Linked DNA regions of Mus musculus: all the other regions are reported to be linked to region 1. Evidence: microRNA targets listed by miRTarBase, many of them from high-throughput screens and not tested one by one. Region 1 holds a microRNA gene; each other region holds the end of a gene's coding sequence.

Region 1 (3,447 bases):
CAGGACATTATCGCTTGCCATGGTGGTACATATGATGTTTACTTTTGTATATGTTTGAAATTTTACATCAATCACTGTGTTACTCTGTTGTTCTCTATGATTACCAATTAATGAATATTTAGAATTGTGTTGCTAATCTTAACCCATTGTCAGACATTAAATTTACATTTTCACATTTCACTTTTATAAAACCCACTTCTGTGTAATGTTTATTTTTCTGAAGAACTACACTGATGAAGGGAAAACATGTTACTATGTATGACCATGTTGTTGCAGAAGAGCTGGGGACCGCCACAGTCAAGCAGGGGAGATAGTGGGCTGGAGTAAGCAGGTACAGCCTGCTAAGCCTGCACACTACAAGCTAGGACGGTGGCCTGTGTGGATAGACAGAGTCGGTCGGGGCGCCTCTTCACTGCCTCCTGCAGACATTTCTCTAGAAACTTGTAAGCTGAGGGATTGTTGGTATGTGGTGTGTGAAGGTCACACAGTAAAGCCACTGTTCCCTTTTTAGGTCCCTAGGCCTTCACTTAGGAAAGCCATAGTCACATAGTGGTCCTAGTGACTCTTCTAAGAGTATTTTTGCCCCCTGAGTGAGCAAATCCTCAACTTGCTAGGTCCCCTATGAGCTCTGTGCTATGCCTCAGCTTATCCAACCAAATGCTTGGTCACAGGCAAGCCAGAGAGATGCTCCCTCCCTACACACCACACCTGCTGTCTGAGGGGCCCAGAGACATCCCAACCCATTCAGTCTGCAATTGGAGAACAGGGTGTGTCCCAGGGTTAAAGGCCACATACTCAGAGCAAGGATGGTCCCTAAGGTATTGGTCTCATAGCTGATAAGTGTGTCCTTTGTCTCCCAGTCCCCTATGCTCCTCTATACAGTGCAGCCAGCGCGCTGAAGGACAGCAGGCTGCACTGCTAGCGTGGTGGGCTCAGAGGCGGTTTGGAGGACACTCAGCACATGTGGATGGGAGTGGTTGGGCATGGTGCTGCCCTCACCTGCTCTGGCTGCTTGGGTTCCTGGCATGCTGATTTGTGACTTGAGATTAAAATCACATTGCCAGGGATTACCACGCAACCATGACCTTGGCTGCTCCTGCAGAACCGTGGCTACTTTCTCTCTGCAGTTTGGAGAACAGAGGCGCCTTGTGGCTCTTTGGAAACAAAAGAAGCCAACAGCCTTCGAAGATGCTCACCAGCCCTTTAATTATGGCCGGCGATGACCTCTCTAACAAGGTGCAGAGCTTAGCTGATTGGTGAACAGTGATTGGTTTCCGCTTTGTTCACAGTGGCTAAGTTCTGCACCTGAAGAGAAGGTGAGATGGGGACAGTTAACTTGCAGCTGCCAGGCAGAGGCCACTGCCTGGTGGTCACTCCAGAGGAGGAGAGACCAGCCTGCCTCAAGGCTGTGTTGTCAAGAGTGCAAACAGCGTGCTGACCACCCTTAAGTGTGTCTACAGAAAATACAGTTCTACTGCTAATTAGTTCACTGTAATGTCAAGTGTATTGGGAGTCACAGAAAACTAAACCCAGGTGCATCAAGGAAACTGAGCCAACCTTGTCTCAGCTGATGCCACACGTGATGGGTGGGGGTGTGGTTCTTTGTCCCTGCTGGGCGTGGTGAACTCTTTCTTGTATTTGCAGTCCAGGTCTCCATGTCTCCACAGTCGCTGGCAAGATGATGCCCAGGGCACGCCAGGAGGCACTGCCCAGCTGTGATTGGACCCGCCCTCCGGTGCCTACTGAGCTGATATCAGTTCTCATTTCACACACTGGCTCAGTTCAGCAGGAACAGGAGTCGAGCCCTTGAGCAAAAAGCCTACCCATCTGTAAGTGCCTGAGGCAGGCCTCCCACGGAGAAGAAGATGAAGGGCCTGAGTGTCTGGTACCAGACCCAACAGCAGTGGTATCCCTCTGTATGTGCTCCCGAGGTGGGGATTTGTAGAGTGCAGAGCTAACCTTGGAAAGTTTGCATTCCCTAGAAGCAGGTAGGGCAGGCGCTGAGCATTTGCCACGTGTTGGGGCAGAGCACACCATGTCACCGCTGCCTTGAGCAGTGAGAATGCCTGTCTGAAGGGCCTTGTCTGTAGAGCCTTTCTGAACCTCTCTGGGCTTCACAGCCCTGCATGGCCTGTGCCGTGACTGTGCACCCCAGACCCAGGATTGTGAGGTGTGGCTTCAGTGTTGCCCCTGTCCTCCCATGAAAAGTTCCCTCTCAAGTGGAGGTCAGAGGCTGGGAGGACTCCTGTTGGAATGGCTGTGGTGACTGGGTAATAAATTTTATTGCTGTTTCCTCCACAGGACAGATCACAGTGAGATTCTCATATACCTTCTCCTAGCCCTGGTGGGGCCAGGACTGCACTGACCCTGGACATCAAAGGGAGGATTATGTGGCTGCTAAGGCCATCAGCCCACAGCAGTGGTTGGTCCATCTTGGGCTTCCAGAGACTGGGCTCCCGTGGCATATATAAAAGGCGGAGCCTCATAAACTGTTGCACCTGGCAGCTGCCTTTGTTCCCAGTCCTAGAGAGACTGAGTCTACACACTGGAATTGAGCTGTGACTTTAAGGCAGTCATTCAATGAAGGACACCCTCCCCTAGGCAGATGGAGAGCCGGTTGCCTGCTTCCTGTGATTGCAAAAACTAGCTGCCATGCTCTGAGACTGCAGAATCATGTGACACCTCCTGTGGCTGGTCCCCAAGGATTCTGCAAAGCCCTTTTGATGTGTTCAGTCAACAGAGCATTCCTGTTTTTGAAAATGCAGGAAAGCCTAAAATGTCTTAATAAAGTACCAGATTTGCTAGTGTTCCAGTTTGCTTCTGAATTTGATGCTCCTTAAAAGCAAAGAAGAACGTGTGTCAGAACAGGCACTTTCCACACACTTCCTACCTCCAGGTAATGTTAATTCTAAAAAGGTTGGAAGTAAAGGGAAATTAGTGTGGCTTGGGACTCTGCTCTCTTCCAAATGTGGAGTTTCAGCCAGCCTGGTACTAGCGGAGTCTCAGAACAAGCTCTAAGCTCTTTCAGTCACTGTCTAGAGAACGGTGCTTGAGACTGAGCCATCAGTGCAGTCACATGAGCCCAGCCAAGGCAGAGCGGTGGACAGAGGAACCAGAAGGAGCATCCCACTGGCTGGCCAGGCTTCTGCACCCAGACCTGCTGGGTGACAAAGGCTCTAGGACAGACTGAGAGGAGCGTCCGCACAGAACCATTGGTTTTCAGAGCCTGGGCTGTAGCAGTGACTGCATTTGGATGGTTGCAGGGGACTTGCAAATGGTTATCTGCTTTGTATACCACAATGGTACAAGTATCAAAGTGTGTTAATTCTACTTAATGTTACCCTGATTTCTGTGAAGACTTGAAATAAATGGCTGAGTCTATGCCTTCCTGCTCTCAGAAGCACTCTGGCCTTGCTTAGAGGTGGACTAAGAACCACACACCCTGTA
Region 2 (3,360 bases), not on the chromosome of region 1:
TTATCTATCTACCTATCTACCTTTCACTCATCCATCCTTCTGTCCACTCAGCATCCCAAGAGATATTAATAAAGTGTTCACTGAGCACTGGGGTCTATTCTAGGCTCTTGGGAGTCTGGTGAGAGGGAGTCAAAACGTCCTGCCCTTGTAGACCTTGTGTTGTGTTGGGGGAGGGAAATTGGTTTAGCAATCAATCCTGTAAATAGGCAGAATATGTGATCATTCAAATGATGGTAAAGTTCTACGGAGAACAGTTGAGAGAGAGAGTGTGTGGAGTGTGTGGTGCTTACTACGATAAGCAGGGTGACTGGAAGGCTTCACTGACGAGGTGACACATGAGCATAGACTTTTAGGAGTCGGAGGGCCATCCTCATGTGTGTACAGAGGAGAAGTCAGCAGTAAGTGTGAAAGCCCCAAGGCAAGAGGGGTCCAACCTGCTGTGATGAGGCATGAAAATGACAGTGGCTTTTCTGATGGGTTTCTCTTCTCTCTGCAGATCGGCTGGTTCCCTTCTAACTATGTGGAGGAAGACTATTCCGAATATTGCTGAGCCTGGTGCCCTGTAGGACACAGAGAGAGGCAGATGAAGGCTGAGCCCAGGATGCTAGCAGGGTTGAGGGGCCATGAACTGTCCTCACCAGCGGAGGATCTGGATGGCGTGCAGATGGCTAGTGGCCAGCTGGCAGGGTTCCCAGGATAAAGCCCAGAGATGCGTAATTTATAACACACTGATTTTCTCCAGTCCTCCACGAAAGGTGGGGCTTGAGGCAACTGATTCTAATAAAGTGAGGAGAGCAGGAACTGGCGTGTTCCAGACTGACTGTAAGGGGAGCCACAGGGTGGGCACGCACTGACCAAAGTTCACTCAAGCAATGCCCTCCTTGTGTCAAGGCCTCCCTTCTCTGACTTTTACAGTACAGGTTGAAGGAGACCTGGGATTTCTACGCAGCAGAAGAGAGTGCTGTCTTTACAGGGTCTGGATTGCAGAAATCAAGTCTATACCTCCCCTTCCCTTCTTTTTGTCCTCAACGCCAAGGAAAGACCTCTTGACCTCAGCATGATAGGAAGACACACTACAGCTGAGCGCCTCACTGGGAGATTCTAGGCAGGGGATCCACCACAACCATTCCCTAACTCCTCACTGGGGGGATTCTGGGTGGGGCTCCACCCCCTGACCACGCCCCAGCCCTTATTGTGGGCTTCTGGTAGTGGGGTTGGGGGAGGGGAGGGGACTCTACTGCTGTGCCACACTCCCAGTCCTTTAAAATCTTCGAGACAAGGTCTTGCTAAATAGGCCAGACTGACCTTGAACATATTGCAGCTGGACTTCAACTTGTCATCCTCCTGCCTCAGCTTCCTTATAATAGAAGTTAATGTTTTGAGTTCTCTCCTTCCGCTGAGTAAGGGAAAAAAACCTCAATATATTCTCTCTTCCCCCCCCCCCTTTATTATATATATGAGTACGCCCTCGCTGTCTTCACACACACCAGAAGAGGGCATCAGATCCCATTACAGATGATTGTGAGACACCATGTGGTTGCTGGGATTCGAACTCAGGACCTCTGGAAGAGCAGTCAGTGCTCTTAACCCCTGAGCCATCTCTCCAACCTCTCAAAATAAGCTCTTCAAAAATCTAGGGTAAATCCTATAAACCTTGGCTCTGGTGTACTGAGGAGATAGCCAGCTCTCCTTTGCTGCCTTGCTTCCTGTGGAGACGACATTGCTCACATCAGAACCCTTCTTGGCCCGCCAGGTAGAACAACCGCACGCACTCTGGTTTACCCAGGCTCATTTTGCCTGTTGCCCTGGTGTAGTTATCTGTGACCTGTGTCCTACTTTGATTTTTGTTGCTGTGGCAAACGACTTGACCTAATGCTCCCCGCGGAGGAAAAGATGTATGTTTTGGCTACACTTCCAGTGTCCACAGTTTGTCACTGATGGAAGTCAGGGCAGGAGCTGAATCAGGAGCTGAAGCAGGGGCCAGGGGGCGGGGGATGCTCTTACTGGCTCATTATTGGCTTTATGCCCAGCTACCATCCTTTCTTCTTTTTCAGTAATAAAGTTTTTACTTACTTTATAGCCAGATGGCAGCTTCCCATCCTTCTTCTCTTCCAAGCTCCCCCGCCCCTCCCCCGCCCCTCCCCTTCCCCCTCCCCCACCCCTCCCCCTTGCTTTCCTCCTCTGAAAAGGGGAGGCCTCCTGTGGTGGCAGTTGCTGTAAGATGAGGCACCTCCTCTCCTGTTGAGGCTGGATGAAGCAACCCAGTAGGAGGAAAGGGTCCCAGAGGCAGGCAACAGGGTCAGAGACAGCCCTGTCTCCTGCTTTGGGACTTCCACACGAAGACCCAGTTACACAACTGTGGCATATATAGAGAGGGCCTAGGCTCATCCCAATGCATGCTCCTGGTTGGCAGTTCGGTCTCCGTGAGATTCTTTGGGCACAAGTTTGTTGATCCTGTGGGTTTTGTTGTGAGTACCCTTCACTCCTTTGGCTCCTTCAATTCTTCATCCCCCTCTTCCACAGGGTTCTCCAAGCCCTGCCTAATATTTGACTGTGGGTCTCTGCATCTATTTCCATCAGTTGCTCAGCTGGTTTCGTTATATAGCCCTGGACCACCTGTTTAGGGATGGTTCCATCCATATCAGGCAACATCAGTTAAGATGATCTCTCACAGACATGGCCACAGGCCAGTCTAATCTGGTCAGTTACTCAGTGTAGACTCTCTCAGAGTAGCTGTGTTGACAGCTAGAGCTAACCAGGCACTCTGTTTCATTCTCCAAAGTGTCACATTTTCGTGGCACCTGCTCTTCTCATTGGTGGGATAAGATACTCTGGGAAATGCAATTCAGGAAGAAAGATTTATCATGGTCCCCATCCCAGTCCACCACAGCAGGGAAGGCATGGTGGCAGGCGTGTGAGCTGCCTGATCACCCAGCATCCACAGTTACAAAGTGGAGAGGTGAATGCTGGTGTTCAGAGCAGCACCCCAGCCCACGGGATGGGGCCACTCACAGTCAGTTAGCCTAATCAAGTTAATCCCTTACCCATCGCCAGAGAATGGATTCCCATATGATTCTCAAGCATGTCCATAGCACCACCATCGTAATTTTGGTGTCTTAGGCTGTGCCATCTGCAGTCAGAGCCCAAGATAAGGATTTGGGGCTATAAGGTCTCCCTGGGATGTTCCACAGGATCTCCAGAAGAGAGAGAGGTGCCACATTATCTGTATCTTCTTTTCTTCTTGTGCATATATGCACGTGTGTTCATATGTGTGCCAGTGCACATGTAAATGTAAGTATGCCTGCACATGTGTCATTGCTCATGGGTCGTCATTGTTTCTTTTGAGACAGGGTCTCTCTC
Region 3 (3,447 bases), not on the chromosome of region 1:
GCCTGTGAACGCAAATAATTATTGTACACTTAGGAGGAGTAAGAGCATCATTGGACCTTATTGGGTCCAGAAGCTCATTTCCAGTTTACACCACAGCTCTGGGAGGTGGATTTTATTATGGCTCTTTTGCCCTTAAAAAAACTGACCTCAAAGGTTAATCTAGTAGGCCGGATGAGGCTAACCATTTCTGCCCCCAGCACCACCCCAGTTGGATATTGTCAAGAATACCAGAAGGTGAGAACTATATTTGACTGACTCTCTTCCATTCCTTTCCAGCTCCAAGTACAGCCCAGTATGGAATTACTGGGAGTGCCTGCGACCTCTTCTCCTGCTGGAGCCTTGCGTTGACACTATCTTCTGTCATCAGTATATTCTACCTGAAGAATGCTATCCTTCAATGAATCTAAAGACCCATGAAAGGCTTTTAAGGAGTCTCTGGGAGTGCTGATGGCTGGATCCAATCTGGTGCAGTTAGCTTGAAGCAGCGTGGGATACAATCGGCCGTCTGTACGCGGGTGACGCCTTTTGTCTGTGGAATCGCTGGTTGTGTAAATACTTTCATTCTCCTCTCCTTTTGATTAGACACACGACCTTGTGAAGCACTGCACATTGTCCCTTTTTTAAGATGTGAAAGGTCTGAACTTACTTTTAGAGGATATTAATTGTGATTTCATGTTTGTAATCTACAACTTTTCAAAAGCATTCAGTCGTGGTCTGCTAGGCTTCCGGCTGTAGTTTACATAACAAATATTGCAGTGAACCCATAATTCTTTAAGGCTGCAATACAAGGGTTCCATGCCCTGTTTCAATAAGAGTCAACCCACATTTACAAAGATGCATTTTTTTCTTTTTTGATAAAAATTCAAATAATATTGCCTTCAGATCATTTCTTCAAGATGTAACACATACCTAGACGTCCCTGCTCGCATGACATCCAGGTTTTGGAAATGAGCCTTGTAATATAACTCGCTATGCTTCTCCTTCTAATCTCAGCATGGGTGTGCCTTCATAAAATAATCTCTTGGTCTCTGACAAATACATAATGTTTTCCTAAACCTTGCAATCTGGAAGCAAAAAAGTAAATTACACCAATAAGCTAAACTCCACCCCACTTTGGGGGGCGCCAAGAAGCTATTAGGCTGTGTCTAGTCATTACCCATTGAGCCTGAGAACTTTGCCCACAGCATCTCAGTTTTCTTGATAAAACAATTTAATAACATGATTGAAGTTCAGGTTTAATATTAGTGCCACTGTGGGAAAACATAGCCCATCACAGGACAGCACAGCCTGTTCAAGAGACCCCTGGTAAAGCAGCAGTCTCCTGCACTATTCAAGTTGATACCCTAACATAGCTTCTTTGCATAGACCACAGCCCTGCCACCCAAGAGACATGAGGTGGCGAGTGCTCAGATTAGGCTTTGACATCAGTAAGTTACTGTGACAGAAACCCTGCAGATTTCCATCTGATTCTCCGTCTTTGGTTGATAGGAATGCATCTTATGTTCCTTACAATTCCAAAATGTGTTTTAACAAATATTGGGCATCCATGCATAACAGATCAGCCCTGAAGTAACTAATTCTTCACCAAAATCTTGTTAGTCATTACCACTCAAATTGATGCCAAAACTGAAGACTCACCATGTTTCACTGCATCTTACAGGACATATGTGAGATGCAACCAAATGGACACACCAGAAGGAGGGCATCATGGGATATGTTAATCACTCAATGATTGTGAATATTACATTTTTTCTATTCAAGAAGCAAAACTACATTTTTGAAGGAAAATGCTGTTAGTCTAACTACTATATTACAGGAATAGGCTCATGGTCTTGCTTTTGACCAAAGAAAAGACCAGAGCCTTGAAAGCCATTTTTCAGGTCTGATGAAGTTGCCAATTTCAGCACGCCTAGGTTTCTACAGTGACCTTCTGCACACCCTAAATAAAGACCTACTCTCAAAACTACACCCAAGGACTTTTACAGTGATTATTTTAGGTAGTTCATGTTTTGCCCTGGAAGGATGGCTTTAAATTTTTGATTCTTTTCTAAACAAATTTTAGACCCAAAAGACACCATAAATCTATTTTAATTAGGAAAATGAATCATAAGTGAGGAGACATAAATACATAGTCTTCCTATGAAATGGCAATAATGTGGCATAATGCTATGAAATTTACTAGCTGTAATAAATTTATGTCATTTTGATTGATATATTAAAAATGAATTTTGAAAATTATGGCATCTAAATTTCTAGGTGATTTGATACTAAAAATGTTCTTTGTGGAATTAGTGAGCAAACAACAGAATTATTTTTCTTTGTATTGCAGCTTTAAAGTAGCACACTCCACAATAACCTACTTTTAGAGATAGCGGTGCTACCATGGAGTGTTGGCCACCTGAACCGCTGTTTGGGGAGAGAAGCAGTTGGAGAATGCGTATTCTACAGTGACCGTTTCCCTAGAGTTAAAAATGCCTCCTCTGTGTAAGGTGTGTAGGGTACATGTGAGGTAAACTGAGGTATAAAATACAGATGAACCAAATAATTAGTTCTAAGTGTTGTCATGATTCCGAATTCGTGGAGTCCGGTGTTTTTCCATAGAGTGTGACAAAGGACAGTCATAGCTCAGTAGCTACATGTATTTGCCTTTATGTTAGAAGAGACTTTCTTGAGTGACATTTTAATAGAGGAGGCATCCGCTATGTTTTTCTGTATTACAGCAGCATAGTCCTTAGGCGCCTGGACAGAGTGAAACCATGAGTATTTATGAGTTCAGTATTGTTCAAATAAGGCTACAGTATTTGCTTTTTTGTGTGAATGTATTGCATATAATGTTCAAGTAGGTGATTTTACATTGACGGGCATCTGAAATGTCTGATTACTCCATTTTATCAGTCCTGACTGTACAAGATTGTTGCAATTTCAGAATAGCAGTCTTATGAAGTTAATTTATCTTTTGATTTACAACAATTTCTTTAGCTATTCATTTCAGCGTTATGTTTTCCACAATATCCATTTGTGGGATTCCTTTTGTTGCCCCTAAATTTTTAAAGAAAGAAGGAAAAAATGATGATAGAGAAAGGAGAATGTGAAAATGGAGAAAAGGAAAAAAGAGTATGGGGGATAAACAGAAATGACTGAAGGAAGCGAAGAGGTTGGGAGGGAGAGTGGGGGAGAGCTGGAATCTTCTGCTGATGAGCCTATTGGACTGCATTCTTGGTTTAACTGCAAATGGCCGAATTTTTTCCCAATGATCTTATTCTACACCTAAGTCCTGCTATACCCTGTGGTCCTGCTGGGCAGAATTTATTGAATGATTCCACTGCCCAGGCCACAGTACTGAGTGCTTTTTGCAGACACTGAGATTGAGAGAGAGCATTTCAAACATAAAGTCACTTTGGGGTTCACAGCTTCACTGAAAAATTATCTTCTCATAACATTTATGAT
Region 4 (3,447 bases), not on the chromosome of region 1:
CTGGAGGAGCTGACGGACGAGGAGATGGCGGCGCTGGGTAAGGAGGAGCTGGTGCGGCGCCTGCGGCGGGAGGAGGCGGCGCGCCTGGCAGCGCTAGTGCAGCGCGGCCGCCTGATGCAGGAGGTGAATCGGCAGCTGCAGGGTCACCTGGGCGAGATCCGTGAGCTCAAACAGCTCAACCGGCGCCTGCAGGCGGAGAACCGGGAGCTGCGCGACCTCTGCTGCTTTCTGGACTCGGAGCGCCAACGAGGACGGCGTGCGGCGCGCCAGTGGCAGCTCTTTGGGACCCAAGCATCCCGGGCGGTGCGCGAGGACCTGGGTGGCTGTTGGCAGAAGCTAGCGGAGCTGGAAGGCCGCCAGGAGGAGCTGCTGCGGGAAAATCTGGCCCTTAAGGAGCTTTGCTTAGCACTGGGCGAAGAGTGGGGCCCCCGCGGTGGCCCCGGCGGCGCAGTGGGCTCAGGTGCTGGGCCCACACCCGAGCTCGCCCTGCCACCGTGCGGGCCCCGCGACCTAGGCGATGGAAGTTCCAGCACTGGCAGTGTGGGCAGCCCGGATCAGTTGCCCCTAGCCTGCTCCCCTGATGACTGAGGGCGCCGCATTTTCCACGCCAATGCCTGCCTGGATTGCTCCCTGAGCTCGGGGAATGCTGTGGACCTCCAGACCTGGTCGTAGCTTCGGCTGAGCACCAGGGCGCTGGAATGGACTGGAAAAGCCCTGGCACTGAGGAGGGCTCCTTGCTCTTGCTGGCAGAGCAGCAGGGGAAATGGAGGCTGAAGTGGAGGGACTTGCTGTGTGGTTGGGTGGGGACTAATAAACTGGGAAGGAAGCAGAGCCCGAAGCCTGGCCAGCTTGTGTCTAGAACTCGCCGGGGTTGGGAAGAGGGCGTAAACCCAGAGATGCAGTGCAGTTCTCATCCGGAGGAACTGCAGAGCTAGGGCTGACTCCCTATTACCTGGGATTGGGGTGGGATTTGAGACGGTGGTAGACCACTAACTCCCCCGATGGGCGCCAAGACAGGCTGAAATCCGGCCGCTGTAGTGGCTCCAGCTCCCTTCCAGGCTCCTTCCTGTCTAAAACAATGGGACAGGAAGCAGGTGTTGGGGGCCTAAAGCCCACTGAACCGCCTGCATGGATGGTGGAAGGATATACCACCGGCCTTCCCTGCCCCCCCCCCAGTCCTTAAGACAGGAGCAGTGTGGGTTCCCATGGGGAAAATAATTGATAATCTTCTTTGCTTGCACTCCAGAGCATTCTTAGTCTCTCAGTATAGGAGACAAGGAAGAGCAGAGGGTCGCCCCATTCTTCAGGTGAGAATATGGAAGTCCAAAAACATATGGTAGTTTCTTCAAGGTCAATGCTGAGACTGGAACCTGGAACTCCTGTTCCAAATGGTCTCCTTTAGCCTCTGGATCCAACATGACAACCCAGACTAGAGCTTCAAGCCTTTTATTCCATTTTGGAAGGTTTGTATAAAAATAGTCTCTTTAGGAAAATAAATAGCAGCTGCCCTTGCGGTGGAGGCTCGGATACCCTGAAGCTAAGCGCTTCTCAGAGCTAGGGAGTGCAGCTCCGCTCCTCACAGAAGCCCCTGGCGCCTCCTGCGTTGTGCCATTCAGGAGGAGCCTGCAGGATGTCCGGTGCTGCTGGCTGTTGATGCTGTGTGAGTTAGTGTTCTAGGCTAGTCAAAGGGCACCTTCTGTCTAGGTGTAGAGTAGGCTGGATAACATGAAGAAAGTGACGTGGTGTGGGAAAGTGGTCTGCAAGGGGTAAGGGTGTCAAAGGACCCCTGGGGATCTACAAAGTCTGGGCTGCCAGGCGTTCTCTGGCAGAGGGAACATATTTTCCTCTAATTTTGTGCAAATTATGATAGGCCAGCTCTAGAAAAACAGTGAGCAGCTTTGGGGATCCCCTCCAAGCTGGCTCTACATCAAAGCATAATGTGTTTGTTCTAGTCGGAAGAGATAAAAGATCTGCTGGTTTGGGGCAAGGGTATGGTCCAGGCCTGCTGGATCAATGGGAGAAAGGGGATGGCTTGGAGTAGCACCAGCAAGGGATGTGGCTGGGTGCCTCACAAAGCCAGGAGTGTAGGAGAGCCCAGGGGGTCGGAGGAGGGGTCGCCACTGCTGCTGCTACTCTTTCGGTGAGCGGAGGAGCAAGGTTCTGGTGTGCTAGGATAGGTGAAAACCAGACTCGGAGTAAAAGGAGTCAGAGAGGGTGTGGTCATGAGCGTGGGGGTATGCAGTGCTTCCGGTTCAAGTACGGGTCCTGGAGAAAGGGAGATGCAAGGCACTGGGCGGCCGGGGGCTGGTGGGCTGCTAGCACCGCTGGTGCTGCCAGAACCACCTGGGTCCTTCTTGTCTCCTTCTGGGATTTTGCAGATGGGGCGATGGGCTTCCAGCACCAGCTCAAGGCGTTCCTTCTGCTTCTGCAGCTCTTCAATCTCTCGCTGCAGCCCCGATTTCTCATCCTCCAATTTGTCGGTCTCCTTTACAGGATTAGCAGAAAGATAGGAAAATGAAGGCTAAAGATCCCCAAGCCTCAGGCTGGAGTAGGGACTGTGCCTGTCATCCCCAACAAGTCTGGACTGCAACTCCCTCCCGTGAGCCTCTGGGAGAAAATGGCCATGACTCCCATCAGACGGGGGCATCTTAGGAGAATTGCTGCCTACCATCTTCGACTCTGCCTCGAAGCCCGACAAACAATATTTAAGCCACTTTCCCTTATCCTTTTTCCAGGACTTCCCCACAGGCAGGGAGGATGACAGAGTCCTGAGGAGTAATTTTGGGTCTTTTGTGTTCTTGGGAGCCGAGACCCCTCTTGGGGCTCTGTGGGTCCGGGCCTGGGGATGATGCTCACCGCCTGCAGGAAGTCTGTCAGCTCCTTTCTTCGGTTTCTGCACTTAGCAGCTGCTAGCTTGTTCCGCTCGCGTCTCACCCTGCGGCGCTCTTCCTCCTCTGGGCTGATCTAGGTTGGGATAGAAGAAGGGAGACAATGAGGCTGACTCTGAGCCACCAGCTGCCCTGAGCTGGTCATCCAGCTTTCCTTCAGTCTGTAGTCTAGGTGCCACCACCCAACACTCCACAGTTGCTTCTCTGTACCGGACGCTTGTCATCTCATTGGTGACATTTCCAGCTCACACACACCTAGCTTTACTGCTGGTTTCTTTCCTGAAATGCTTTCCCTCTCTGTAAACTTTGATCTTCCTCCCTTCCGCATCTTAGGACTGGACTAAGATGTTGGGACCCCAGGAAGCCTTTTCATTTCTCAGGCAGAAGTAGCCTTCTCTCCTGAGTGTATGAGACATGATTATCTCTTTTCACAGGACTCTCAGCCTCCTCATCTGTGGAAGATGGGATTTCTTCCCCCAGGAGCTGTGAATTGTAGAAGGTGCTCTTGAGTGCCAAAAGCTACTGGGAATCAATCTACTATGCCAACAAAGCCCTTTGT

Evidence for each region. The annotated mature microRNA mmu-miR-24-3p reads UGGCUCAGUUCAGCAGGAACAG and lies in region 1 at 1,774-1,795, shown strand. An mRNA with a match to its seed (bases 2 to 7 or 8) in the 3' UTR can be bound and repressed. Matches are read on the target gene's strand: a 7mer-m8 pairs with bases 2 to 8, a 7mer-A1 pairs with bases 2 to 7 and ends in A, and an 8mer does both.
Region 2: the mRNA of Vav1 is a reported target of mmu-miR-24-3p. Seed matches in the 3' UTR shown: 7mer-m8 at 591-597 and 8mer at 1,591-1,598.
Region 3: miRTarBase lists Negr1 as a target of mmu-miR-24-3p. The part of its 3' UTR that is shown has no 7-base or 8-base seed match.
Region 4: miRTarBase lists Ccdc85b as a target of mmu-miR-24-3p. Seed matches in the 3' UTR shown: 8mer at 3,004-3,011.

Annotation. Positions count from the first base shown.
Region 1 is chr13:63,299,478-63,302,924 of GRCm38, forward strand. It overlaps Mir24-1 (microRNA 24-1), which reads left to right and starts at 1,731; the gene lies at 1,731-1,798. Aopep (aminopeptidase O) reads left to right here. Exons shown (of 16, transcript NM_001289926.1): 16 at 1-3,400. Mir23b (microRNA 23b) reads left to right here and starts at 1,007; the gene lies at 1,007-1,080. It overlaps Mir27b (microRNA 27b), which reads left to right and starts at 1,235; the gene lies at 1,235-1,307. It also overlaps Mir3074-1 and a transcript of Fancc not described here.
Region 2 is chr17:57,327,155-57,330,514 of GRCm38, forward strand. Vav1 (vav 1 oncogene) reads left to right here. Exons shown (of 27, transcript NM_011691.4): 27 at 497-2,082. The coding sequence ends at 550. Among named protein-coding and RNA genes, the nearest start is that of Adgre1, 30 kb to the right of the region's middle.
Region 3 is chr3:157,312,510-157,315,956 of GRCm38, forward strand. Negr1 (neuronal growth regulator 1) reads left to right here. Exons shown (of 7, transcript NM_001039094.3): 7 at 277-3,447. The coding sequence ends at 401. Among named protein-coding and RNA genes, the nearest start is that of Gm22458, 52 kb to the right of the region's middle.
Region 4 is chr19:5,453,930-5,457,376 of GRCm38, reverse strand. It overlaps Ccdc85b (coiled-coil domain containing 85B), which reads left to right. Exons shown (of 1, transcript NM_198616.4): 1 at 1-3,447. The coding sequence ends at 588. Fosl1 (fos-like antigen 1) reads right to left here. Exons shown (of 4, transcript NM_010235.2): 3 at 2,857-2,964; 4 at 1,439-2,485. The coding sequence ends at 2,069. Among named protein-coding and RNA genes, the nearest start is that of Ccdc85b, 1.9 kb to the left of the region's middle.